Linked DNA regions of Cricetulus griseus. The main gene of each other region encodes a partner of the protein of the gene in region 4 in a complex. Links are inferred from orthologs where the notes say so. Each region holds a gene or a part of one and is shown on either strand. Other genes may lie near its edges.

The links. Proteins that work in one complex are often made in the same cells at the same time.
Region 1: Nckap1 (region 4) and Abi1 share a complex: the UniProt entries of both Homo sapiens proteins name them as parts of the WAVE2 complex. The link is inferred for Cricetulus griseus from reciprocal best matches to the Homo sapiens genes NCKAP1 and ABI1.
Region 2: Nckap1 (region 4) and Wasf2 share a complex: the UniProt entries of both Homo sapiens proteins name them as parts of the WAVE2 complex. The link is inferred for Cricetulus griseus from reciprocal best matches to the Homo sapiens genes NCKAP1 and WASF2.
Region 3: Nckap1 (region 4) and Cyfip2 share a complex: the UniProt entries of both Homo sapiens proteins name them as parts of the WAVE1 complex. The link is inferred for Cricetulus griseus from reciprocal best matches to the Homo sapiens genes NCKAP1 and CYFIP2.

The regions. Positions count from the first base shown.
Region 1 is NC_048596.1:211,221,708-211,227,882, reverse strand, and holds part of Abi1 (abl interactor 1), read right to left. Parts: intron 5,186-6,175; coding exon 5,171-5,185; intron 4,466-5,170; coding exon 4,365-4,465; intron 2,675-4,364; coding exon 2,534-2,674; intron 1-2,533. UniProt on the Homo sapiens protein: May act in negative regulation of cell growth and transformation by interacting with nonreceptor tyrosine kinases ABL1 and/or ABL2. May play a role in regulation of EGF-induced Erk pathway activation. Involved in cytoskeletal reorganization and EGFR signaling.
Region 2 is NC_048595.1:20,084,880-20,091,054, forward strand, and holds part of Wasf2 (wiskott-Aldrich syndrome protein family member 2), read right to left. Parts: intron 4,145-6,175; coding exon 4,027-4,144; intron 3,017-4,026; coding exon 2,886-3,016; intron 701-2,885; coding exon 545-700; intron 1-544. UniProt on the Homo sapiens protein: Downstream effector molecule involved in the transmission of signals from tyrosine kinase receptors and small GTPases to the actin cytoskeleton. Promotes formation of actin filaments. Part of the WAVE complex that regulates lamellipodia formation.
Region 3 is NC_048600.1:60,837,647-60,843,821, forward strand, and holds part of Cyfip2 (cytoplasmic FMR1-interacting protein 2), read right to left. Parts: intron 5,607-6,175; coding exon 5,529-5,606; intron 3,723-5,528; coding exon 3,621-3,722; intron 1-3,620. UniProt on the Homo sapiens protein: Involved in T-cell adhesion and p53/TP53-dependent induction of apoptosis. Does not bind RNA. As component of the WAVE1 complex, required for BDNF-NTRK2 endocytic trafficking and signaling from early endosomes.
Region 4 is NC_048599.1:94,543,489-94,550,144, reverse strand, and holds the start of Nckap1 (nck-associated protein 1), read right to left. Parts: upstream 3,824-6,656; coding exon 3,716-3,823; intron 1-3,715. UniProt on the Homo sapiens protein: Part of the WAVE complex that regulates lamellipodia formation. The WAVE complex regulates actin filament reorganization via its interaction with the Arp2/3 complex. Actin remodeling activity is regulated by RAC1.

The sequences.
Region 1 (6,175 bases), on a different chromosome or scaffold from region 4:
CTCAGAAACAAGCAAACAAACAAAGACAACAAAATATAATATATAAAAGCAAATTTAAGAAAGGTGATAAGAAATTTTCTGGAAAATGAGTGTGGTGGTTTGAATAAGAATGGCCCCCACAGGCCCACAAATTTGATTGCTTAGTCATCAGGGAGTGGCACTTCTTGAGAAGGGTTAAAGGGGCCTTGTTGGAGATAGGAATGGCCTTGTTGGAGTGTGTCACTGGGAGTAGACTCTGAGGTTGCCAAACCCAGTATCTCTTTCTTCCTGCTGCTTATGGATCGAATATAGAACTCTCGGCTCCTTCTCCAGCACATGTCTACCTGCATGCTGCCACGCTCCCATGATGATAATTTAGAGGTTTAGAGAACTAAACCTCTAAAACTCCGAGCAAGCCTCAATTAAATGCTTTCCTTTATAAGAGTTCCCATGCCATGCTGGTCATGGCATCTCTTCACAGCAATAGAACAGTAAGACAATGAGCCTAACACAGCAACAACAGAACAAAGTTTCAAGGTTTCACAGACTAGAATAGCTGCTACTGATAAACTCTCTGGAACTCCCTCGGAGCCAAGAGTCTGTCCTAGCTGAGACTAGCACACCTGCCCCTCACTATGTTGCCTAGGCTAATTTCAAACTTCTAATCTCAAAGGATCCTCCAGCCACTGCCTTCCAAATGCGCACCACCACAGTGCCTGGCTCATACTATATTTCAAAACCAATATGGTTTGATCAGTATGCCCACAAACCCAAGAAGGCAAAGATTTATAGTGCCTCGGTAAGATTATTTTACTCTCCAATATAATCAATTTACAACTGGATAATCACATTGTAATAAAATACATTTAAAAATCCACTGATAGCCGGGAGGCAGAGGCAGGCGGATCTCTGTGAGTTCCAGGCCAGCCTGGTCTCCAGAGCGAGTGCCAGGACAGGCTCTAAAACTACACAAAGAAACCCTGTCTCGAAAAACCAAAAAAAAAAAAAAAAAAAAAAATCCACTGACAGAACAAACTAGCTTAAATGAGATTCTCAACTCGTTCAAGCCAGGAACTCAATATTCAGCTTTGTGTCAGACCTAGGAATATATGTACATTTAAGCTCTTCTGCAATTCCTGACTTCAGTGTTTCTTATGTAACACAGGGTAAGTAGTAGCAAAGTATACCCTGTGAGCTAAAACTGGACAAAAGCCCAAATTTTGCCTATGAGCTAACTTTTTCCCCCCTAAATAGTGAGGGAAAACTCAAAAGAGGAATGATATTTTTGAAAACATTAAAATTATATGAAATTCAAATTTTAGTACCATAAGTAAAATTTTACTAGGCCATGGCCATGCTGATTCATTTACATATTGTCTGCCATGTCAATATATTTGCAACAGTGCTTAAGTAACCCATAAATCCTGACATAATGACATTTCTAGGATACATTTCTAAATTTCTTTTTAAAAAAAGATGTTTGTATTTCAACACAATGAGCATCTGGAAAAATCAACAATACTATGTTTTATATGTTACCGACTGGTATTTAATAAAGTCATTCTAAATAACTAGTGGTTGAATAAGATTCCACTTTGGAAAAAACATACTCTGACCCTGTAATTAATTCAGCAGCCAAGGTAGATCCTTCATAAAGCCCATTGGGCAGCTGTTCTCTAGAGGATTTTTAACACACCCTAGTTTACCAGCGCTGTCCAGAAACAAGTTAAGTGTTCTTCCTCTGATCTCTCAGGGTCCAACTGAGCCACGGAACTTCTATGACATTTAACCTTTTGTCTAAAAGCATTTAAGAGTATTTCCCTGCCCTCTCCCCTTTAATGGGAGTTCCTAGTAAATGAACCCAGAGGCCTTACACATACCAAGGATAATACCACTGAGCTATACAAATCCTAACCCTACCTTTATGACATTTAAAGACATGTGGAAAACCATTCTTGGGTCAGGAGGATGGGGATGATGAGGCGCAAGGTTACTACTAAAACACACTTTGTTGCAAAAAGTCAAAAGCCTATCTTATATGCATATTTAAGAGAGAAAAAAATTAAGCTTTATCTTTTTGTTTTTGTTTTTTTAGACAAGGTCTCATGTATCACAGCTGGCTTCAAATTCACTATGTAGCTGAGGATAACCTCTTGCCTCCATCTCCCCAGAGGTAGGATTACAATGTACCTCACCATGCCTGGCTTTTATGGTACTAGGGATCAAACCCAGAACTTCCTGTATGTTAGACAAACACTATGCTATCTTAGCTACACCTTTAGCTTCTAAAAACACTCTTTAGTTTTAATCCCAATATGTACTTGTATCTGTCAAAAAGAGGAAATATATCCTACTAATAATATACACAAACAAAAACAATTGACAAAGAAAAACTGAAGTTTTATGTGATCAGAAATATGAAGAATGCCATAACCTTTACATTCATTATTAGCATTAAAGTAGTACATCATTTTGTATGCTGTGTCTTTAAAACTCATCACTCACCAGTCAGCACCATATACTCTGAGTTCAGATGTTCACACAGAAGGCTTACCTATGTGTCCTTGGTCTCTGATTTAAAGAAGCCGTCCTGCCTGGACTATGCTGACTTCCAAGCCTTGCAGGACTAGTCATGTAGTCATTAGGAACTGTTGGAGGCTTAACAGGCTCTAGCGTTTTGTAAGGGGTATTCCGTCTAGAGAAGAAGAATGGAAAAATGGATAATGAATGAGAAAGACAAAATAACTGCCTTCCCAAATCTGTAACAATCTCTATCTGAATTATCTATAACAGAATTTTTTCCCCAGTTTTAATTTAAAAATAGTTAAGACTGGCAAGATGGCTCAGACAGTAAAGGTGCTTGTCACCCAAGCCTAGAGATCTTTTTTCAATCCTAGAACACATCAATTTACACATGGGGGGTGCCTGCACATGGGAACACACACATAGACACACACACACACACACACACACACACACACACACACACACACCCTACAAAGTTGTCCTCTAATCTCTAAAGTAGATAGCATGAGCTACACTCTCTAATGACAGAAAAAAAATTAATAGTAATTTAAACAAAAACTTTAATTGTGACATAAAAATTTTGCTGTTTTAACATAAAATAAAATGTGTTGTTCTTTCTTGGGAAAATTATTGGAAATGATCACTTAAATTTCTAACATCACTAAAAATAATGGCTTTACTCTTTAATGCTTAATAACATATATTATTAAAATACATTATACCCAGCTTAGTCACTCATAAGCCTTTCTTCAGGGGGAAAAAAAAAGTAAAACCACCACCACAAAAAAGAAAGTTGGCTATTAACTGACCCCTCCACAAAAGCAAGAAATCTAATATGGTATTTCCAAATAACTAATCTTTCATTAACATCTTGGAAAATACTGATACAATTACTACCACCAACAGGGGACCAGAAATTACCACTATTTTTTACAGCTTTCCAAAAAGCTACTCTGGTGTAAAGGGGTCTGTGAGTAGCTGCTACACTTGGAGCCACTTCAGTAGAGTCCTCAGTGTAAGGTGGAACAGAAGAAGCAGAAGACAGAGACTACTAAGGCAAATTACACAAAGCACACCACTTATTCAAAAATGTCATAAGTGATGCATGCCTTTAATCCCAGCACTCGGGAGACGGAGGCAGGTGGATCTCTGTGAGTTTAAGGCCGCCCTGGTCTACAAGAGCTAGTTTGGGGCAGCTAGGACTACACAGAGAAACCATTGGGGGGGGGGGAGTGCCATAAATATGTGTGAAGGCACTATAAGAAACTCTCTGGATAATCCATTTAAAATAACATGCAAAGAAGATTTACATTTTTTAAATGCAGAAACAAAAACTGATACTCATTTACACATATGAAAAAGATTATTAATATCTGGCATGGCAGCACCCACAATCCCAAAGCTAAGAAGGTAGAGACAGGCAATCTAGCTTACTATCCACCCAATCTAGCCTCATTGGTGAGCTCTAGGCTAGTAAGAGAGCCTGTCTTTAAGGAGGTGGACAGCTTTCCTGAGGGTAAAGCATGAGATTGTCCTCTGGGCTACACACACACAGAGACACACACACAGACACACACAGACACACACAGACACACACACACACACACAGACACACACACACAGACACACACAGACACACACAGTACACACACACACACACACACAGACACACACACACACACACACAGCACACACACACACACACACACACACACACACACACACACACACACACACACACACACACACACACACAGAATAAATGAATGTAAAGGGTAGTACCACAAGAGAAAACACAAAACAAGGATGCAAGCACTTAAGTCTCAGGAATTCTTTGTAGAATGCACTTGAATTCATACCCCAAAGTCCCTCGGCCTGACACAGGAGGGCTTGGTGGTTTCTGCGTGGGAGGATTTGTTCTCGACAATGTGCCAGTTCTTGCAGGCTGGTTATTTCCGTGCTAAAATGTGGAAAGAAAGATTTTATTTTTGTATCAACTTGTACTCTTGGTGTTTTAACATGATGTCTTTTCCTTAATATCAGAATGTGAAGTAAGGATTCCCAGACAGCACTAATACAGTTTGGTATTATATTTTAAAAGTTCAAAAGCCACCTGCATTCAGTTCTTCTATCATTTTGGGCTATTCATATCAATTTATGCAAAATACAGGTAAGACTACTAAATTTTATATTTTGTTAGACATATTTACTGATATCAATCTTATCTGTATTCAAGAATCAGAATTATTAAAATGCTTGAATAAACATTTATATGTGCATAAATGTAAACCATAAAAGCTGTAAATCTGCTAACATACTCATCTCAAATATAATCTTTTTACTAATAATTCAGCAACAAAATCACATATGACGTCTGGGAAACCTAACTCTCAAACAATGGAAGCAAAGCAACTGTAAAAACATGAGCAAAGCAGTAACTGTTAGCAAGATTAATGTTCCTAAAGTGCAAACATCAATATATCTTGGATATATTAACACAGCCAAGCTAAACGCTGAGATTTGACTAAATTTGAGCATATTTAATCTATGTAAATCCTACAGGAAAAAAGCAGACAGACATAAGAGTTTTCACATTTTAGTGGCTCTGCAGCCTCTGTCAACATAGAGGAAGTACTGTGGATCAAATGATAAGTAAGTCTCTTACCTTGGCTTTTAGCCACTTTATGTTGGCAAAAACAAAAAAGAGGGGAAAAAGTAGAAATTAATTCTAGGTAAATTGCATCTGACAGGACAGGTTGACATTTATATTACTGAATTCATGTTAACAAGCTTTATCCAGCCATATTTCAAATACACTGCAAAAGTATCTATAAGAACTAGGGAAATGTTTGTGTGTTACACTTATTTTCCAGCAGCACAGGAAATTGAACTCAGGGCTGCACATGTTAGTAAAACACTTTACCAATGTGTTACATCCAGTCACTAAGTTTCCCAGACTGGCCATGAACGGACTTTGTGGCCCAGACAAAACTTGAGTTTATGAGTCTCTTGCCTCAAGGTAGCTGGGATTGCAGGCTTTTGTCACCAGATCTATCTTACATGTACTTTTAAAAAGAAGTAACTTTCTAAGGAAACTACCAACTAATTAATAATTAAGACAATCTCAAACAGGCCTCAAAATTTCTGAGGTCAGCATTTAACCCCTGCATCTAATCCAACTGAATTACAGACGACAGAGAGTGGAATGGCATCTCAGCAGTTAAAACTATGTAATGTAACTGTAAGTGACAGTATCCAGCACCTACATGAGGCACTGCATGACCACTTGTAATTCCAGTAACAAAGGATCAAATACCCTCTTCTGGCCTCCACTCATGTACACACACACCCCTATATACACATATATACATAACTAAAAATAAAAATGTTTTTAATTTGACTTTAAGTAAACTACAATGATACAAAAGGCATAAATCTATTTTTAATTATCAGTATACAAGATCTAACACTTTATTGGACAATGAATGCCCAAGTCATTATTTGAGTGGTAGTATAATGCTATAAAAATATCAACCTTAACCAGGCGTTGGTGGCGCACACCTTTAATCCCAGCACTCGGGAGGCAGAAGCAGGTGGATCTCTGTGAGTTTGAGACCAGCCTGGTCTACAAGAGCTAGTTCCAGGACAGCCTCCAAAGCCACAGAGAAAC
Region 2 (6,175 bases), on a different chromosome or scaffold from region 4:
GCACTACTTTAGGTCTCCACCTGAGTCCTTCAACATATCCAGCCAATAGGGATATCCAGCCATCATGGACAAGCCTTTGTACACATCAGCCAAAGACAACAACAAAAAAACATCTAAAGGGACAGATTGGAAGTCTTGTTTCCCCTCCCCGCTGCTATGTAGTGCTGATGGCCTAGAACGTGCATGTAGTCCAGGCTAGCCTTAAACTTCGCTGGGATTACTTGTGTCAATCACTACACTCAGCTCATGCTTTCTGAGGGATAAACGGGACAGAGAAGTGAGCTGAGCAGCAGGAGATGGCCATCTACTAGTTCATGAAAGCTGATGCTCACCTTAGGTCAGTTCACTGACCTTTGTGTGCTCAATAGATCACTCACCTGTAACACGGGAGTAACAACACTGCCAACACAAGATAGATGTTATTCCTGTTATCTACACACTCTTGCCTGAAGTCATTTTAGTGGTCCTGATCTAGATTTTGAACTCTTACTTTGTTCTTGAGTGCTTTACTACCCAGGATGGATGGAGAGGTTCTGCCATTTACCTGAATTCTGCTGGTGGGGGAGGCAAGTTGTCTTCAGAGAAGGAAGGAGAAGGTGAGGAGGTGGAGTCTGACTGTGGTGGTGGTGGGTAGCTGCCTGCATCCACGTTCTCAACAGAGCCAATGCTGCCATTCTGGTACACCAAAGCGGATGAGAATCTGATAACATACCCAAAGTGGTCATTTAGAGAGTCCATTTTCATCCAAAGCATCCAAAACATGTAGAAACACACAGAGCTTGAATGGCTCTCTCTTTTCTTACTAAAAGATACCACATCAATACAAAACAAGGAGATTCCCCACATTACACCAAAATTATACTTTAGGCTAGGTATGGTAGCAGGTGCCTTCAAAGACAGGTGATCTCCATGACTATGTGGTATACATACCAAGTTCCATGCTAGTCAGGGTCACACAGTGAGACTGTGTGTGTATGTGTGTTTGTGTGTGCACTCGAGTGTGTGCCTGCCTGTCTGTTTAAAATCAAACCCAGCAGTTCTTTTAAATGCTCTCCCAAATATTAGGTGCAACTAAACCTGAATACCAAAACCTTACAGCAAAGAATGAAGCCAATTCCCACAGGTTAGTTGCAAACATGTGACTAGCATACAGCCTGATTTTGAGGTAGGCAAATCCCTGGAGTGTTCAAAGGCTAAGGATGCATTTGATTGCAAAATCAAGCCAAAGATGAATGTAGGCTTCCATGTGGTAGTAAGTGTGGCTTCTCTGCCATGTCCTCTATCACAGCAGCTGCTTAAAGCAGGGTGCTAGAGCTAGTTGCATGAAAACCCATTCCTCTGAGAACTGGGCCCTGGGAGAATTGACTCTGGATGAACATCAAAACTTCATACAAGCATCAACACACCAAGCAGTAAGTCTACATATTAGCATAAGTACACTGGGCACCAGCTAGCAAAGCTGGCCTGCTCTGCCTTCTCTTCCTCTTTATACCACTGCGGGGTTCTCCAGAGCTCATCAAGCAGGTCCCAGGCACAGAGTTGTAGGCAAGTAATCAAGTCAGATGATGCGCTCCTGTGAGAAACCCCCAAAACCTGGCACATCTCTTTGACAGCTTCACCCAGAAGCATGCTCCTATAGACCAGCTACACAGCCAATTCTAAACCTCCTGGAAAATAGGAAAATGAGGGGCAGGGTACCACTCCTCATCTTCACTACCCAAGTTCAAAATAAGACATGCATTTCTTTGTATATCCTTGGCTGTCTTGGAACTAGCTCTGCTGACCAGGTTGAGAGACATACATTTTTGACAGCTGGCATTATGGCCTCAGAGTCACTAATCCTATGCCGTGTGCCTATCAGAATGGGATGGGTCTGTGGAACAAAATGGCCCCTTACTGGGTAGTGAGATCAGTGAAGGCACCCTTAGTACCGGTTTCTCTGTAGAAGGGTCATTTTCTCCTCTCTCTGTCTTCATCATGCTTATAAAACAAGCCTCTGAATCCAGGAAGAACAAGTGTCACAAGTGTCAAGATTTTTAAAAGTCAAGATTTTCATGGTAGAGTTATTCCTAAAAGTAAGAACAACTCAACTCTTTCCTTTTATCACTCGTCAACACCCAGTATGGGCTGGCATGGTTCTTTGACAGCCAGAATGCAATGACTTTAGAGGAAAAGCCAGGGTGACACTCATGCCAAGCAGTCATGGTGACTTGGCTTTGAATGTCACAGGGGTCAGACATCAGGATAAGCATCAAACCAAGCTTTAAATCCATTCTCCCCCTTTAACCTCCAGTGTGATTTGGTCCTGGGAAATGGGTCAAGATGACATCCCCCACTCCCACAGAGATATACAGCCTCCACAGTGGTCCAGCAGCCTTTCCCACACTTACTCTGAGGTCTGCATTCAGTCCCTTTGGCTAACTAACCTCTCTCCCAAGACTGACAAAGACTGGCTGAAAATTTGTTCTGGTAAAGTACAAGGCTTGCGTGCTGCCCACCCTCCCCTCCTCCCTGGCTCAGCCCTTCAGTACAACCTTCTTGTGCACTTGGGAGGCAAAGGCCTCCCAAGACCATTTTCCTTGCTCTTTCCGTCTTTCCTCTGAGACCTTAGGTATACTGAATTCTGGCAGAGGAACAGCACTGGAAGCCATGCGCCTTCCCTTCCAGACCACTCCAGTCATCTCACTGAAACTGCTACTGAGTCTCTTGACTTATTTAAAATTTTTAATCACCAGATGGATGCACTTAAACTGTAGTGGACTAACAGTTGTATTGACCTAAATAAACCCTACAGCTAGATTTCAGAGGGTGTGGAAGGTATCACTCCAGAGCCTATTGTCCTGAGGTTCCAACCCCTTCAAAGAATGCTATAAAACGTCACCTACCCAGAAGGCCCCAGCTTTTCTTTGGACTCTACGAATTCTTGCCCCATCTTCATTTTCTCCCACTCTTCCTTACGCGTCTTGATTTTACGTGGGTTTACATTCCCTCTATTCGGATTATCTTTCTTTTCTTTCTATAATGAAAGGGAACAGAAAAGCCTTTGTAAAACATTTTCCCAAGTGCTTCATTAAAATTCTTCATGGACACACACTCATGAGATGATTTGCCTAGACAACACATGATAACAGCAGAATTTACAGAACTACCAGGTTTGCGGTGACCTAGAGGCCATTCAATTCAAACCACCTCCCGGGCAAAGCATTTGCTCAGTCTCACACACAAGCACCTCTAGCAAGAAGGAGCCTCAGCTACCTTTCTGGGTAACTGTTTCACATCTTTAAGCATTTTAATTGTTAGGAAGTTAGTAAACACTTATTTGTTATTTGCTGTGCCACAAAGGTCAGTCAGGGGATGAGGACTGGCAGCTCTAGAGATCTGGGGCAGATAAAGGAAACAGTTAAAAAACAAAATAAAACAAAAACCAATGAAGGATTTTCCAGCTCATGCAGCTGCACTAGCCTGTGGCACTCTCTTGGGCCTGCTGACAGCCATGCTAATGGGATTGTGAGGTCAAAGCTGGCAGGTCACACAGCACCAGGAGCCTAAAGAGAGAGGCATCTCTACAAACCAGGCAGCCCCTGGCCCCACCCACCCAGTAGTGAAGGGGTTAACCTTCTGTTGTAAACCAAATATTGCAGAACCTGGTGCTTGTCTCTGAGAAATGAGCTGCAAAACCGGCAGGGATGGGACCAGGCTAGCAGAGTGTCCAGCAGAGTCAGGTGCAAATTGCAAGAAAAATAAATGGTGAATAGAAAAGTCAATTTCTAAAACTCAGCTCAAATATACTCAATTGTTAATAGTGCCAGGGGAACAAGCACATTTTTGGTGTGATTTTTACTTTCTCATCTTGGTGGTATTTGGTATGGACACATTCTTTTTTTTTTTTTTTTTTTTTTAAAGAATTTTACCTGGCATCCAAGCAAGCAGCCACTTGGAATTACTTCACATAAGACTGGCTTCCTTTTTATCCCCACTCCACAATCGTGCCTACTGATGTGTAGAACAGAGGCCCCTTCCCCTCACCCTGTGCTTTCTCTTCTCTTTCATGATATCCTTCGTGTCCTGCAGCATCTTCTCCTTCCAAAGATCAAAGAAGTATGAAGGGTTGGTGTAGAATTTGAGTGCCTCTTTTCCATCATCCCTGGGATAGAAATGAAGACAAGTAGCTGTCAGTAGACAGATGAGCTCCCAACCAAATCCAATATTCCAAACACCAACCAGTTAGCAGTTTTTACACTAAGGATTCAGGAAGTCATTCAAATCGATCGCATATTTCCTCTCCCATAATGGCCCCAAACAAACCTCTGCCATACCTTCAATTCCCCTACAGGAATTTGCATGGTCAGGGCAAGAACAGGCTAGATCAGCAGGAATTCTGATTGTTTCTAATCATCTGCAGGGTCACAGACAGCTCCCTAAAGAGATCTGGATACTGTGCACCTCTAAGGAGATTTCCACCACTGGTTCCCCTTCCTGCCTGTTCCCCAGGACTCAGCAGGAAGCACTGAGGTCTTTCCCTCCTATCTGAAACCTGTGTACTCGTGTGTTTCTGTGTACAGCTGCTCTTCTATACTCAGATAAGGAACCAAGCACACCGCTACTTCTTGCTCCCTTTTGGAACAGCTCAGTGTCCAATACCAATCCAAGGGGACCCATTGAACACAATGACCAACTCTTTTAAAACCACAAGGTCTATAGGGAGGTAGAGGCAGGTGGATCTCTGAATTTGAAGCCAGCCTGGACTACAGAGTGAGTTCAGGACAGCCAGGGCTACACAGAGTCTTCAAAAAAACAAAACAAACAAACAAACAAAAAATACCAACAACAAAACTGCAAGCCAGGACTGGTGATGCATGTCTATAACCCTGGCACTCGGGAGGCAGGGAGAGAAGCATCAGTTCAAGTCCAGTCTAGACTATGTACAGAGGACCTGTCACAAAGGGAACCATACATGTTTAAAAAAAAAAAAAAAAAAAGTAAAAGGCCGAGTCTGAGGCCAGCCTGGTGTACATAACAAGTTCCAGGACAGCCAGAACTATATGGAGAGAAGCTACCTCTCAAAAATAAATAAATAAATGCAAACAAATCCTAATTCTGAAAAGAAATTCTACTTGTCTTTCAAAACACACAGAATATACTTCTAAATCAAACACTAATATTTTCTTTTAAAAATGCCTTAGATTAGCCGGGCGTTGCTGGCGCAGGCCTTTAATCCCAGCACTCGGGAGGCAGAGGCAGGCAGATCTCTGTGAGTTCAAGGCCAGCCTGGTCTCCAGAGCCAGTGCCAGGACAGACTCCAAAGCTACACAGAGAAACCCTGTCTCGAAAAACCAAAAAAAAAAAAAAAAAAAAAAAAAGAAAGAAAGAAAAGAAAGTCTTACATTTATTTTCATTTGTGTATATATGTGTCTCTGTGTATGCATGCACATGTGTGTAGGTGCCCACAAAAGCCAGAAGGGTGTGTCAGATCCCTGAAGCTAAAGTTACAGGCAGTTGTGAGTGCTGGAAACTGAACTTGGGTCTTCTGCAAGAGCAGCAAGTGTTTCTTAATTGCTGAAATATCTCTCCAGGCTCTGACACTAATAATTTCTATATTAACTAAATCTTGCTCTGAGTTAGAGATACCACTTAGGCCAAGTCTAGATAACTGAGAGGAGATACTAGTTCTGGTATTTTGTGTCTAAAATATAAAATAACATTTCTAGAAAGGTGAAATATCTCAATATTATTTGCTTATCCTGTCCCACCATATAAATGCTGTATCTTTTTTTTTTTTTTTTTAAGATTTTATTTATTTATTATGTATACAACATTCTGCTTCCATGTATATCTGCACACCAGAAGAGGGCACCAGATCTCATAACGGATGGTTGTGAGCCACCATGTGGTTGCTGGGAATTGAACTCAGGACCTCTGGAAGAGCAGTCGGTGCTCTTAACCTCTGAGCCATCTCTCCAGCCCATAAATGCTGTATCTTATCCCTTTCAGTATTATGAGGTATGCCTGCCCTTTCTGTCATACAGCTCTATCCAAACTCAATCAGACTAACGCATGACAGCCACAGGGGCAAGCATGACTTCAAACACTAGTAACAAAGGGCAGATACTCTGAGCCTCTTCTCTATCTGTGTGAAAAGATTCCAAGTTCCTATCTGAGGCTAATAGGCCAGTGT
Region 3 (6,175 bases), on a different chromosome or scaffold from region 4:
GTGACTTTCAGGGAAGCAATTTGAAAGAGAAGGAGAAAGATAGGAATAAGTGGAGGAAGCATGAGCTGCCAGTGCAAACGCCTCGAGGCATGTTGGAAGGACAGAAGGAAGGACAGGGCTTAGCTTGAGTTGGAGTGCATGCAGGGAAAAAGCACAGTCAACACTGAAGCGGCCATGCACCCCCAGAGGCTCTTATGGGTACTTGTGCTTTGACAGAGTGACATGGGTGATGCTGGGGCTCTAGCGTGGTAGCTTGGTGGCTGCAGAGGTGACAGCAGACTGCAGGGGCAGTTAGGAAACTTGCACATCTAAGGTGGTGGCACTAAGTGACCTGGCACTCCACTCAGGGAAATCTGTCCTAGTTTGCTGCCTGCTGTTGCGATATCCTGACCAAAAGCAACATGGGGAAGAAAAAATCTGTTTCATTCACAGCCTGCAGTCCACCCTGAAGGAAGTCAGGACAGGAACTCCAGGCAAGAACTTAGAGGCAGGACCGGAAGCAGAGTCTGCAGAGGGTCCAGAGTGTGATCAGTTTGCTTTTTTATACACCATAGGACCACCTGCCAGGAGTGGTGCAGCCCACAATGAGCTGGGCCCTCCTACACCAATAATTAAGAAAATGCCCCCACACACTTGCCTACAGGCCAATCAACAGAGGAAAGTCAACAATTGAGATTCCTTCTTTCCATATGACTCCAGCTCATGTCAAGTTGACAAAAAACTAACCAGCACACAAGCCAAGAGAAAGACAAGAATCTCTAACAACACACAAGCTTGTACACATGTGTTCGGCTTTTGTTCCCAACAGATCCGAAGGGGAAAATCAGCCTCATCTATCACCTGGTGGATAGGTGAATAAAATACACTGCATGTGTACAGTGACATGGTATTCCATCATAAAAAAATAAAAATACCAATTGGATTCTGATGCCTGCTACAGTACAGACGACACTCAAAAACACCCCACCAACGGCAAGGGGCCAGCCATGAAAAGTCATGTCCTGTATAACTTCATTTTTAGGAAAATGTCTAAACAGGAAATCCATAGAGATAAGAAGTGGTTTAGTAGTTGCCTGGAGCTGAAAGAGAGGGTGTTGGGGATAGTAGGGAGTTAAGGCTCAACAGATTTCTTTCAAGGGTTAAATATATTCTAGAACAGGTTATATGATGAACACATAACTCTGTGAAGACACTACAGTATGCTGGGCTGTTCATTTTGCTTGGTTGAATATTAAATGAGATATAATATTATATATATATATAATATTATATATTATATCTCAAAAGTCTGTCACTGGGGGGAAAGAAAGGAGTTCAAAAGCAAGAAGCTACTGTAGTAATGGAGGGGCAGCGAGCATGGGAGAAGGAAGGAGGAGGGGGAGGAAGGGAGGAAGAGGAAGTAGAGAAGGACGAGGAGGAAGAGGAGGGGAAAGAACACAGGAAGGTGTTTGTGAGGAGGAGAGGATGTATGCGCAGATATGAGCTCTGCTCCCCTTCCAGGGCCTACAGTGCTCACCTGCTGCCCGCCCCCCCAAAGACCAGACCAGACCTCCAGAGTCTAAGACCAGGTAGGCTTTCTGCCATGGTGAACTGTTCAGCACAGCAATGCTCACCATAATGGTGTGACTGTTGATCTTCACTTTCAACTTGATGGGATTTAGACTCACCATGGAACCCCTGGCTGTGTCCATGAAGGATGTGTGTTTCCAGAAAGGTCTAACTGACCAAGGAAGACTTACCCTGAATGTGTAAGTGGTGAGGCATGACCCCATGGACTTGGATCCCGGACTGAGTGAAAAGGAGAACGTGAGCTGAGCACCGGCTTTCACCTCTCCTTCCTTCCTGACCCAGGCACAGCCTGACCAGTGCCTCATGCTCCTGCCACCACGCTTTTACTGCCATCCTGACTTGTACCTTTAAACTGTGAGCCAAGTAACTCTGATTTCCTCGAGATCCCTGGAATGCTTTCTTAGGCATCTGGCCCCAGAAGTGAGAAGAGAAACTAATATGGATGGCCACAGTGGCTACTGAGTGCTTGAAGTGAGCTTTGTGTTGCTGAGGAGTGTCCCGTTGAACTTACTACTGTTTATACACGTAGACGATGGGCACAGTGCTTGGTACACGGCTGTGAATCATTCCAGATCCTTCCTTCCATTCACACCTCTTGTCGGGGTGTGAATGGAACTTCACACCCAGTTTCTGATGGCTCTCCTCTCTTGACCCTCTTCCCAATAAGACTTTAGGCTCTGGGGAAGTCAGGCCACCTAGGATACTAACAACAGCTGTGAAGCACTGTAAGCTGACACAGGGCCCTGCTGGGCACCTACAGATGGACCTTGTTTATCCTTCCTACGATCCTGTCATGTCTCGGGGGTGTGTGTATGTGTATGTCTGTGTGTGTGACTGTGCATGAGTATGTGTGTGTGTGTGTGTGTGTGTGTGTATGTGTGTGTGTGAATGTGCATGAGTTTGTGTGTGAGAGTGTGTGTGTGTGTGTGTGTGTGTGCGTGAGTGCGTGCGTGCGTGCGTGCGTGCGTGCGTGCGTGCGTGTGTGTGTGTGTGTGTGTGTGTGTGTGTGTGTGTGTGTGTGAGAAGTGAGTCACACTCGGTCAGATAACAGCACAGCCAGGGTTTGACCTGGCATTACTCCTTACCCAGGCTGAGACACCTTCCCAGTGCTGTCCCAGTTCTTGCCTAGATGTTGAGTACAGGGTGGATTCTGGCCAGAGTCAAGAGTCTATGACTGAAGCTCAGTCCCACAGGCAGGTTATACATAGGGTATGGCTTGTGCAAGCTATAGCACCCACTGTGGGGTAAAGACTGGCTGTGAAATACTCACCTTGCCACCCTCTTGGCTGCCAATGAGACCCCAGCAAGTAACTGACTGCTTACACTTCCTGTCCTTTCTTGCTACCACCTAGCCTTCCCTGTCACCTGAGAAGGCCCTTGGCTCTCTCCCTGCCTTTCGTCCTCTAAACAGTGGCTCTTCCAGAGTTCCTGACTGGTCTCTGGCTGCGGCCACCATCCTTCTCTCTCATAGTCTCTTCCAACCTTACACCTCCTAACCCTTTTCTACCTAGTGGCCAGATAGCCTGAAACCTCAGGTCAGCTCACATCACCAAATCCAAACCTCAAGCTCACAGAACCCCGCTCCAGCCTCCCTTTAGACCACTTGTTTTTACTGTTCTACAGCCCGCTCCATTACTGTCCTCTATTTCTTGAACACACTGATTCCTTCGGGCCTTGGGGCTTTGCTGGACCATCTTCCTGGAGCCCTGTTCACCATGCCATCATACTCCTGCCTCTCCTGTGACCAGGACATAGTTCCATGCACTGTCCCTGAAGCACCAACTATCCATAGCTACTTTGCAATCTACAACTGTTGTAAATCTTATTTTACTCATGGCCCTCAATGTGTCCTAAAACTACTGTGTATTTCTGGAGCTACACATCCTCTGTGGAGGTGGGGACACCTGTTGGCCTGGCTCACCCATGGGAGTGTAGGTGGTTCTTAAAAATATTAGCTGGATGAAAAAAATGACATGGCACCAAAGTCCAGTAAGTGGAAGGGTAGGCGTCCTTGTGAGCCTTCTGCTGTGGGCCCTCCACAGCCCACTCACCTGAAAGTACATGAACTTCATGAGCTTGGTGACCTCCGGCTCCAGCACTTCCACTGTCTTCTCGTAGATCTCTACCCTGTTGGGCTGTTCATTGCACTTCACCTGAGAATGTGAGAGGAAAGTTCACCATCCAGGCTCGCAGCTACTGTCTCATGAGACTGGTCCGTAGTTCACACGTGGCACCTCGTCATGGGTGATAATGAATATGGTCACCCTAGTGAGAGGGGACTGTAGAAGACTGGCAACCCTAGAAATGATCCCTGGACACTGGCTGCAGTAAGAGCCAGCTGGTCCCAACACTGGGTCCTCCTCCCTTTCCTGCTGGTCTGTGCCTTTACAGTTGGCTATCCATGTATCTATGGAGATCTGCAACATCCTCTCCCCATCCTCATGTACAAGTGGTGAGCCGGTCTGCTCTGTCCTTGTTATGCTGTATGCCTGGAGCAAAGCTCCAAAACCACATCCAGGTGAATGATGGCTACCCGAAGCTGTGCCATCCTGAGACCCGCTTCCCCTGCCCAGTGCTTTTAGTCAGCATATAACCTTAGTACCACATGGCAGATGTTCTTTGAACACACACACACCAAGCCTAACAACAGGATGGCTGGGTGTGAGCAAACACATTTTTTTCTTTAGATAGTGTCTCACTATGTAGCCCACACTGACCTGAAAACTCAAGGTCTCCCTGACTGTTACGTGTTGGGATTACAGGTGAGTACCACATGCATTGGACAAGAACTATCTTTTATGGTTATCAATGGCTATATAACTTCCAGTACGTCATTACATGGACAAGTGATGCAATCGCATTCTACCATTACCATTATAAACATTAGAAGGACTAAGGTGGATCTCTGGAATTACCATAAGAAGGTGGCTACCACAGGGGACAAGCAAAAAGGTCACAGTAAAGTGATTTGATGCCTGTTTTATTTTTGCTTGTTTTTGCACTGCTGGGGAGAGAATCTGGGCCTTGAACCCCAAAACCTTGGATATGTTTTGCAATGCTTTGCCACTGAGGCACAACTCAAGTTTGGTCCCTTTTTCCAGAAAACAAAATTCTGAGGCTGGCCAGATGGCTCAGCAGAAAAACACACTTGCTTTCAAGTCTGAATGGGACAGACCCAATTCCTGCATGTTGTCCTCTGACTGTTACAGGCACACCCCATTGTACATCATACCCTCCCCAGAGAGAACACATAAATGTAATAAAAAGTTTGACAAGCAGGCACATAAAATAAAAATAAAGTTAAAAAAAGAAAATTGTTTTAAAAAAAACAGTTGTTTAAAAAAAACAGGCTTAGAAAATTAGGAAATGTACAAAATTTGTCAATAATAATTGTCCCTAAATATGAGGGTTAAAAGAGAGAATGGTACCTTCTGTTTACTTTATGCATGTGGGGTTTGTTGGTTTTGTTACAATGGAATCTACTAATTAAAGGAAAATATCAATAATGATAAAAATATCTGTATTTTCAACAAGCCCATGACAGTGTAAAAAAACGAGTGGTAACAATCGGCTTTATGAAATATGTTCCTGTGATAAGAAGATCCCAAACAATCTGAAGCAATGTGCACCATGATGGTCCTGTGGCCGAACATGGGTTTGGGTGAAGGAGGGAGTGGACAGCATGTTTGCTACCTTAGACCCTCTGCAATGGCCTGGGTGGGAGGCAGCAGATGCTGCTTGTGAAATGAGATACTGTGCATAGCATGTGCTGGGAACTGTTTTTAAGACCCCGGGGACGTGGACCTTCTCAGTAGTATTACGGGAAGCTCTTTGGGTCAGAGACCCAGATTTACCTCCTGCTACCCAGAAAACTCAACCCTCTGGTTTGGGTTTGATTGGGCTTGGGGGGCAGTGACACCTCCTGAAGGGCAAAAGAGGAATAGCAAGGATGGTCTCACCTGCGGGATGGCCCGGGAGCAGCTGCGCCAGGTGTACAGCATGACCGCATACTCGTGTCCCTCCTCTAGCATTTCATTCTGAAACGGCAAAGCCCTTTCATCAGGGAGAAATGACACTAGTGTCACAGGTTTCTCAAGTCTCTATCTACAGTGCATAGGGTATGGTCTGTGGCTGGTAACAGCAGCATCACCAGGAGTCTTGTCCTCTCAGGGTGTCTGATTCTATGATTAAGAACTACATTCCAGCACACCTTTAATTGCAGCACTTGGGAGGCAGAGGTAGGTAGATCTCAGTGAGTTCGAGACCAGCCTGGTCTACAAAGCAAGTTCCAGCACATCCAGGACTATTATACAGAGAAACCCTGTCTTGAAAAACCAAAACAAACCAAAACAAACCCCCTATATTCCAGTGAAGTCCCCAGGTAACTCACATGCACCTGCCATTTAAGACCGACCTAATATGAAGTTCAGTGAAAGCCAGACAAAAGGTCACGTATTCTGATTCCTTTAGATGAAATATCCACAAGAGGTACAGCCTTAAGGACAGACAGTGGTTGATGGGAACACAGGAAGAGAGGACCCATGTGAGATTGCTAACAGTCTAGGGCACATGTATAGGGTAATGGAATTAGATGGTGGTGACAGTG
Region 4 (6,656 bases):
CTGTTATTAAGAATTTAACAATACTGTAGGCTTTGGTCAAATGAAACTATTCCCTGTTTGAGCATAGTACTGCAGTATTTTATTAATAACATCAAACTTCATAAAATCTTAAATTGTTAATGTGTAAACAGATTTGTGTATCTGACAGTTTCAAATAACCTCTTGAAAGAATCTTGAAAATACTTCCTTATAAAACTAATCTTTTAGGTAATCACAATGTTGAGAGGGCTTCCCCGTTGTGATATTTTGTGTATGATCAACCAAATAAAGATTGCCTGAAGATCAGAATGCAAAACTAGCCACAGCCATAGAGCTCAGGCAGTGGTGGTACACACCTTTAATCCCATCAGATACACTAGTTAGCCATAGATACTGGGTGGTGGTGGTGCAAGCCTTTAATCCAGCACTAGAGAGGAATATAAAACAGGAGCTCAGGGTCTCAGACTATAGTCACTCTTCAGTCTAGGCAGTCTGAGGAGCATTTGGAGATGCAATCAGAGTACTTGATCTCCCCTTCCTACTAAGCATTGGTAGAGGTGAGAACTCTCTAATGGCTGGCCTCTTTCCTTCTCTGGTCTTCAGCTTGAATCGCAACATCTGTCTCTGGGTTCTTTTTATTCGTTCTACAGTGATATTTTGTATATGATCTGACAGATAAAGCTTGCCAGAAGATCAGAGTGCAAAGCCAACCACACTACTTAGCCATAGAGGCCAGGCAGTGGTGGCTCATACCTTTAATCCCAGCACTCAGGAGACAGAGGAGGATCTCCGTTATTAGTTCAAGGCCATCCTGAGCTAAACGAAATTGATCCAATCTAAAAGAAAAACAGAGCTCATACAAGGTAATCTCAGCACTTGGGATCTCATGTCTTTAATCCCAACACTAGAGAGGAATATATGGTGGGAGGAGACAGGAACTCAGTGCAGTCTGAGAACAGGATTGTCCTTTTGGTTTGAGCATTTGTAGAGGTGAGAACTCTAGTGGCTGGCCATTTTGCTTCTCTGATCTTTAGCTTTAACCCCAATATCTGACTCTGGGTTTTTATTATTAATACCAATTAGAATTCATGCTACACCCCCCCAACTGTATTTAATCACTATCTATTGAATGTCTTCTCTAACATTAGAGAAACAGGTATATTAAGTCCACCACCAAGATATTCATATCTTGATTAGAGAGATGTGTAGCTAGCTAGTCTAATGCAGTGTGTAAGTAGGATTGTAGGAGACTTGAGACTTTAAAGATTTTAGGGTGGGAAAGATAGAAAGATGGATAGGAACATTTGTGCCAGGTTTTGAAATATGAGTAGGAGCTGACAACTATTTTAATTCAAGTTCCAGAGGCTCTAACACCTTCTTCTGACCTCTGTGGGCATCAGGTACACAAATGGTACAGAACTACATGCAGGCAAAACCACTCATACATATAAAACTTAAAACCTAAAGAAAATAAAAATAAAAAGATTATGTGATTTATATTGCCATAGAATACACACAACATGGACCTTATAAACAATGATGAACAGATCTTACTTCTTTGGCTAGATGTTTGAACAAATGTTTCAATCCTTAGCCAGCTGAGTATAGACAGGCAGCTGATACAGACAGGCAATTCCACAGGCTAAAGATTCAAATTCTATCAAAAGGGCCAGCAAGATGGTTCGGAGCGTAAAGCCTGATTCCATGTCTGATTCTAGAAACCCTCAAGGTAGAAGAAGAGAACAGACTCTCACAAGTTATCCACTAACCTCCAAGCACCTGATTGCTTCCCCACTCTCTCTCTTCCTGCCACAAAACAAACAGCAGATGCATTTAACACAGAGTCTATTTTCACCAAGCACTAATCAAAGCCTATGTGCTAGGCAATGCCCTAAGTATTAGTCTTCAAAATGAATTACTCTTCTCAGAAGAAATTCATAAGCCAAGTACGCAAAATATTTCAAGTAACTAACTATATGTAAGTGCTGAAGTATACAACATTTCAATAACTCAAAATGCTTAACAATTAGATATAATGACTGCGTTCACTTATTTTCCATTTCAGGGGTCAACACAACAAGAGCCCGAGGTTTCTCAAAACAGGAAGTGAAAAACACTTTGAAAAAAGGCCACAGACTAATTATAAGTTTAAATGTTTAGAATTCCATTTACTATTACCCATGAGAATAAAATATTTAAGTCTGTTTATATTTATTCTATAAAAATGTTTAGAGACTTGACTGCATCAAAGAAAGTATTTTGCTCAAACACCCAAATCACTTCTGATGTTACTCTCACTTCCTCTTCTAGAAACCATCATAACCATTTCCTCTTTAACCACAATACCGCAGGTCTAGTAACTTTTAGTAACATTTGACTTGCTGGGTTTTTTTTTAAGAAAACAAAGTCCATATAAAACTTAGATTTCCAAGATTTCTTAAGCAGTGAAATCCAAAAGTCGTTCATCATCAATGCAACTTATACTACCTAAAATTGAAAATTTCCAAACCCCATAAAGTTGCAATCAAGGGGTGAATGTAGAGGACTTTATCATGTCACAGACTGAATGGGTACATCCTAGCTCCAGAGTGTGCTGGGTTTAGAGACAACCATTCATTGAAACCAAGTGAGTAAGCAGAACAACACAGCTATCCTTTCCCAGGATTTAGTATTACTAACTTAAAGCAGTGTGCTTCAGAATTAGTGTCTAAATCAAATTGGAGAAGTAAAACAAGTTTATACTCGAATGCTTTGACTTCAAGTTTTAAAAGAATCTTCAGCAATACTCACAACCTATATACTCCATTGCTATGGTCAAAGGGCAATATTTAACGTTATACTCTTTTAAAACGAGATTATGAAAAATCTGACATACACATACAAACCCACAAGAATGTAGATGTATAAAATGTACCAAAGACAAACTTTTTCTCTACTAAATTCCCTGAGGCTCATCAAAGAAGTCTTAAACGGATTTGAGGTTGTTTTCCTCTAAGGTAAATTAATGGCATTTCCCCCCTATTTTTATCTCTACTTTTCTTAACTTCAATACAGCTCTCCACTCCCTAATCTGAAGGCACACGGATTTCCAATAGGTCTACTGACTAGTTACTCAAATCCTCGCATATGTTTTGAAGGGAATAGCAATGGGAGCAGATTTCGTTTTTATTTTATGCAGCCATTGTACTTTAAGGAATGGTGCCTTGGTGCTCCCCAGATAGGGTTGGGAAAACTAAAATGAGGAGGAGTAGAGAGGAAAGGTTGTTATTCCTGTTCTAGTGACTCACAGCCTACAAGTATTTCAGACGAAAACCGGTTCCACCCTCACTTCCCCCTCCTGTCCATCTCCAAAATGAAATTATCCTAAACGTCAACATGCTGGGGGGTGGGGTGGGGGAGCTTTATTCAGCGACCGAAATATCAAGTGACCAAGTGGAGAGCGGAGCCCTGAGGGTCGGTCGCCACATTCCCACACTCGCAAGCCAAGAAACCCGGGCCCGTTCGCCGCAGCCCGGGAAGGCCGCGCGTCTCCCTTCCCGCAAACCAACGCGCCGCGGCGGCCATGCGCGGCCCGGCCGGCTCCTGCCGCCGGGAGCCGGGAAATGGCTCCTGCCTGCCCGCCCCGCGGCTCACTCTAGGCCGCGGCGCATCCCGGAGGCCCCGCGCGATTAGGCCGAGCTCGCGCCCGCGGCCTTCCCCCGCCGCACCCCGCCCGGCCTCGCCGGCCCGTGCGCACCTTCTTGATGTTGTAGAGGCGCGTGAGCATGCCGACGCCCCGGTCGTTGAGGATGGTGAGCTTCTCCGCCAGCTTCTGCTGACTGGGCTGCAGCACGGAGCGCGACATGGTGCGGCCGCCGCCGCCACCGCCGCCGGGCGCGCAACTCCGCGGCTCGCCGCCTCCCTCAGGCCCTCCCGGCCGCCCGCCCGCGACCTCCGCCTCAGCGCGGCGCGCCCATGCCGCGCGCCCACCCGCGCCGTGACACAGCAGCCGCGGCGCTCGCTTCCGCCCGCCGCCCTTCCGCCTCCACCCGCGGAGCTCTCCACCCCAGTCCCCCCCCACCCGGGCCGCCTTTCCCGGCTCCTCCGCTAGGTGTGGTGGTGGCGGCGGCGGCGGCGGCGGCTGAGAACGAGGCGGCTTCCCGTAGCCGGGACCGGCGCTCGGTCACCTGATCGGCCGCGCCGGCGCCCCCGCGAGGCCGCCGGGAGAACTGCGGCCCGCGCCCTGTGCGCCCTGCCGGGCCTCGGCTCCCGGGACCCCAGGCCGCCTTCCTCGACTTCCCCCGAAGTTGCCTCAGCTCCCCACCCCCCGGGACCCGCAGCGGCGTTAGGGTGGGGACGCTGTGTTTCGGGAGACTTTGGTCTCGAGACGGGGCTGGCGGCGACTCGGAGCGCGTTTTCCTCCCACGCCTTGACAGACGCTCCCGGGAGAACGCGGCAGATGTGTGCTCCGCTCGACCGGCATCGCCTCGCCGCGGTCCCCGCTCCCGCCTCCAGCCGGCTTCAGAGGAAGGAGGTCGGAAGTGAGGGCAGCTCGAGTTCCTGAGATGATCAGAATGGAGAATTATCAGGGAGCAGCACCCATCCGGCGGAGACACGAATAGGCTATGGCGTGTGGTAGGCAAAAACAACAACAACAACAAAAACAAAAAACCCAAATGTTTGTTCGGTGAAGGAGGGTTCGCTCCCAGCCTTCTCCTTAAATACCTAGAAGCAACTCTACTTTTCCACCCCCCACCTACCAAGGACTGTTTGTCATCATCCCACTCCGCGTCCACTCCTGATCCCACAGGGTTTCAAACATGAACAAAATGTGTCTCCACTGGAATGACTAGAGTGAAAACTTCCACCGCGGGGGACTCACGTCACTTGGACATTTGGGGCTTTAACTAGTATAAATCAAACACAAAATGCCTCACCACCTTAAATAAAAGGCATTCTGAAGTTAATAAGATACTGAATTCATTAAAGCAACTTTCTAATGAAATGTAACAAATAGCTTCAAAGATATTTTTAAAAGCTACTGTATCCACTAGCTTACAGAAATCTACAAGAGCACACAGAATAGATTTTCCTTAAGGGCTGTTTAAGAGTCCTAGTCCCACCAGAAAAGTGGAAACTTATCTGTCAGTGTGCAACATACATATACGTAGAGCTGCATACCTTGAATGTATATATTCTTTCCCTCTCCCGCTCATTCCTCTCTCCTCCTTCTCAGAGAGACCATCTGTTGAGTTATTTACTCTGTTATTAACCAAGTGGGAACTTTAATTTACTAGGTACTTGCCATGCTGGTAGATAACATTTAAATTTACCAGAGGCCCAGGGTCCAAACCAGAGACAATTAAGAGGAAACTGGAAAGGGGACGCTGCTGTGAGAATTTGGGGACAATCAGACAAGAAAATGTAACGCTACTGGATGTAGAGAACTACTGGATGTGTGTCTTTAGGGAAGCCAGGAATCAATTCTGTCTAGATGGATAGCTGTTTTTTTTTTTTTTAAGATGCATTTATTTTTATTTTGTGTGTATGAATGTTTTAGCCTACATGTATGTTAGTGCACTTGTGTGCGAGCCTGGAGGCCATAATACGGTGTCAGATCTCCTGGCACTGTAGTTGTGGGCAGTTGGGTTAGGTCCAAAGCAGGCCCTCCAAATGGCAGTGCCACCAGAATGTCCTAAATGACAATCTGAGCTCTAGACAGAGCAAGAAAATGACACATAAATTTGAGCAGAATTCTTATTCTTCAAGAAAAGCTATCATGCTTCCAGGTGATCTTTTGTTTCTTTGTGGTTTGGGGTAGGAGTTGTTGTTTTATTTTGTTTTGTGTCTCTCTGTTGAACTCAAGCTGGTCTTGAACTTTTGGTGGTTGTCTTAGTTACTTTTCTAATGCTGTGATGAAATACTATAACCAAAGCAACTTATAAAAGAGCTAGTTTAATTGGGGATGTATGTTCAGAGGGTTAGAGTCCATGGCCATCGTGGAGACATGGCAGCAGACAGGCAGGCAGGCTCGGTGCTGGAGTAGTTACTGAGACCTGCCAAGTGTGAGGCAGAGAGAGCTAACTAGGAATGCCTTGAGCTTCTGAAACCTCAAAGTCTATCCATTCTCAGTGATACACCTCTTCTAACAAGGCCACACCTCCTAATCCTCCCCAAATAATTCCACAACTGGGGACCAAGTATTCAAGCATGAGCCCATTGGGACCATTCTCATTCAAACCCCACAGTCTCTCCCTGCCTTGCCTCCCATGAGCTGAGATTATAGGCATGTGTACCATGCCTGGATTCCATATGAACTTGAGCACTTATAGCTGTTTATACCTTAGAGTATCCAATAGAAGAAGCATGCAGATACTCATTGTCTCAGTCAAGGTTACTGTTGTAATCACTGTCCTATTGCTATGAGGAGACACCATGACCAAGGCAATTCTTATAAAAGAAAGCCTTGCTTACAATTTCAGAGGTTTAGTTCATTGTCATCATGGAAGGGAGCATGGCAGCAGGGAGCATGGTACAGCATGGCAGGCTGGTGGTGGAGAAGTAGTTGAAAACTACATCCTGATCCGAAGGTAGAGAGAGGGACTCTAGGCTTGGCATGGGCTTTTGAAACCTCAAAGCCTACTGCCAGCAACACACTTCTTCCAGTAAGGCCACTCCTCCAAATCCTTTTAATCCTT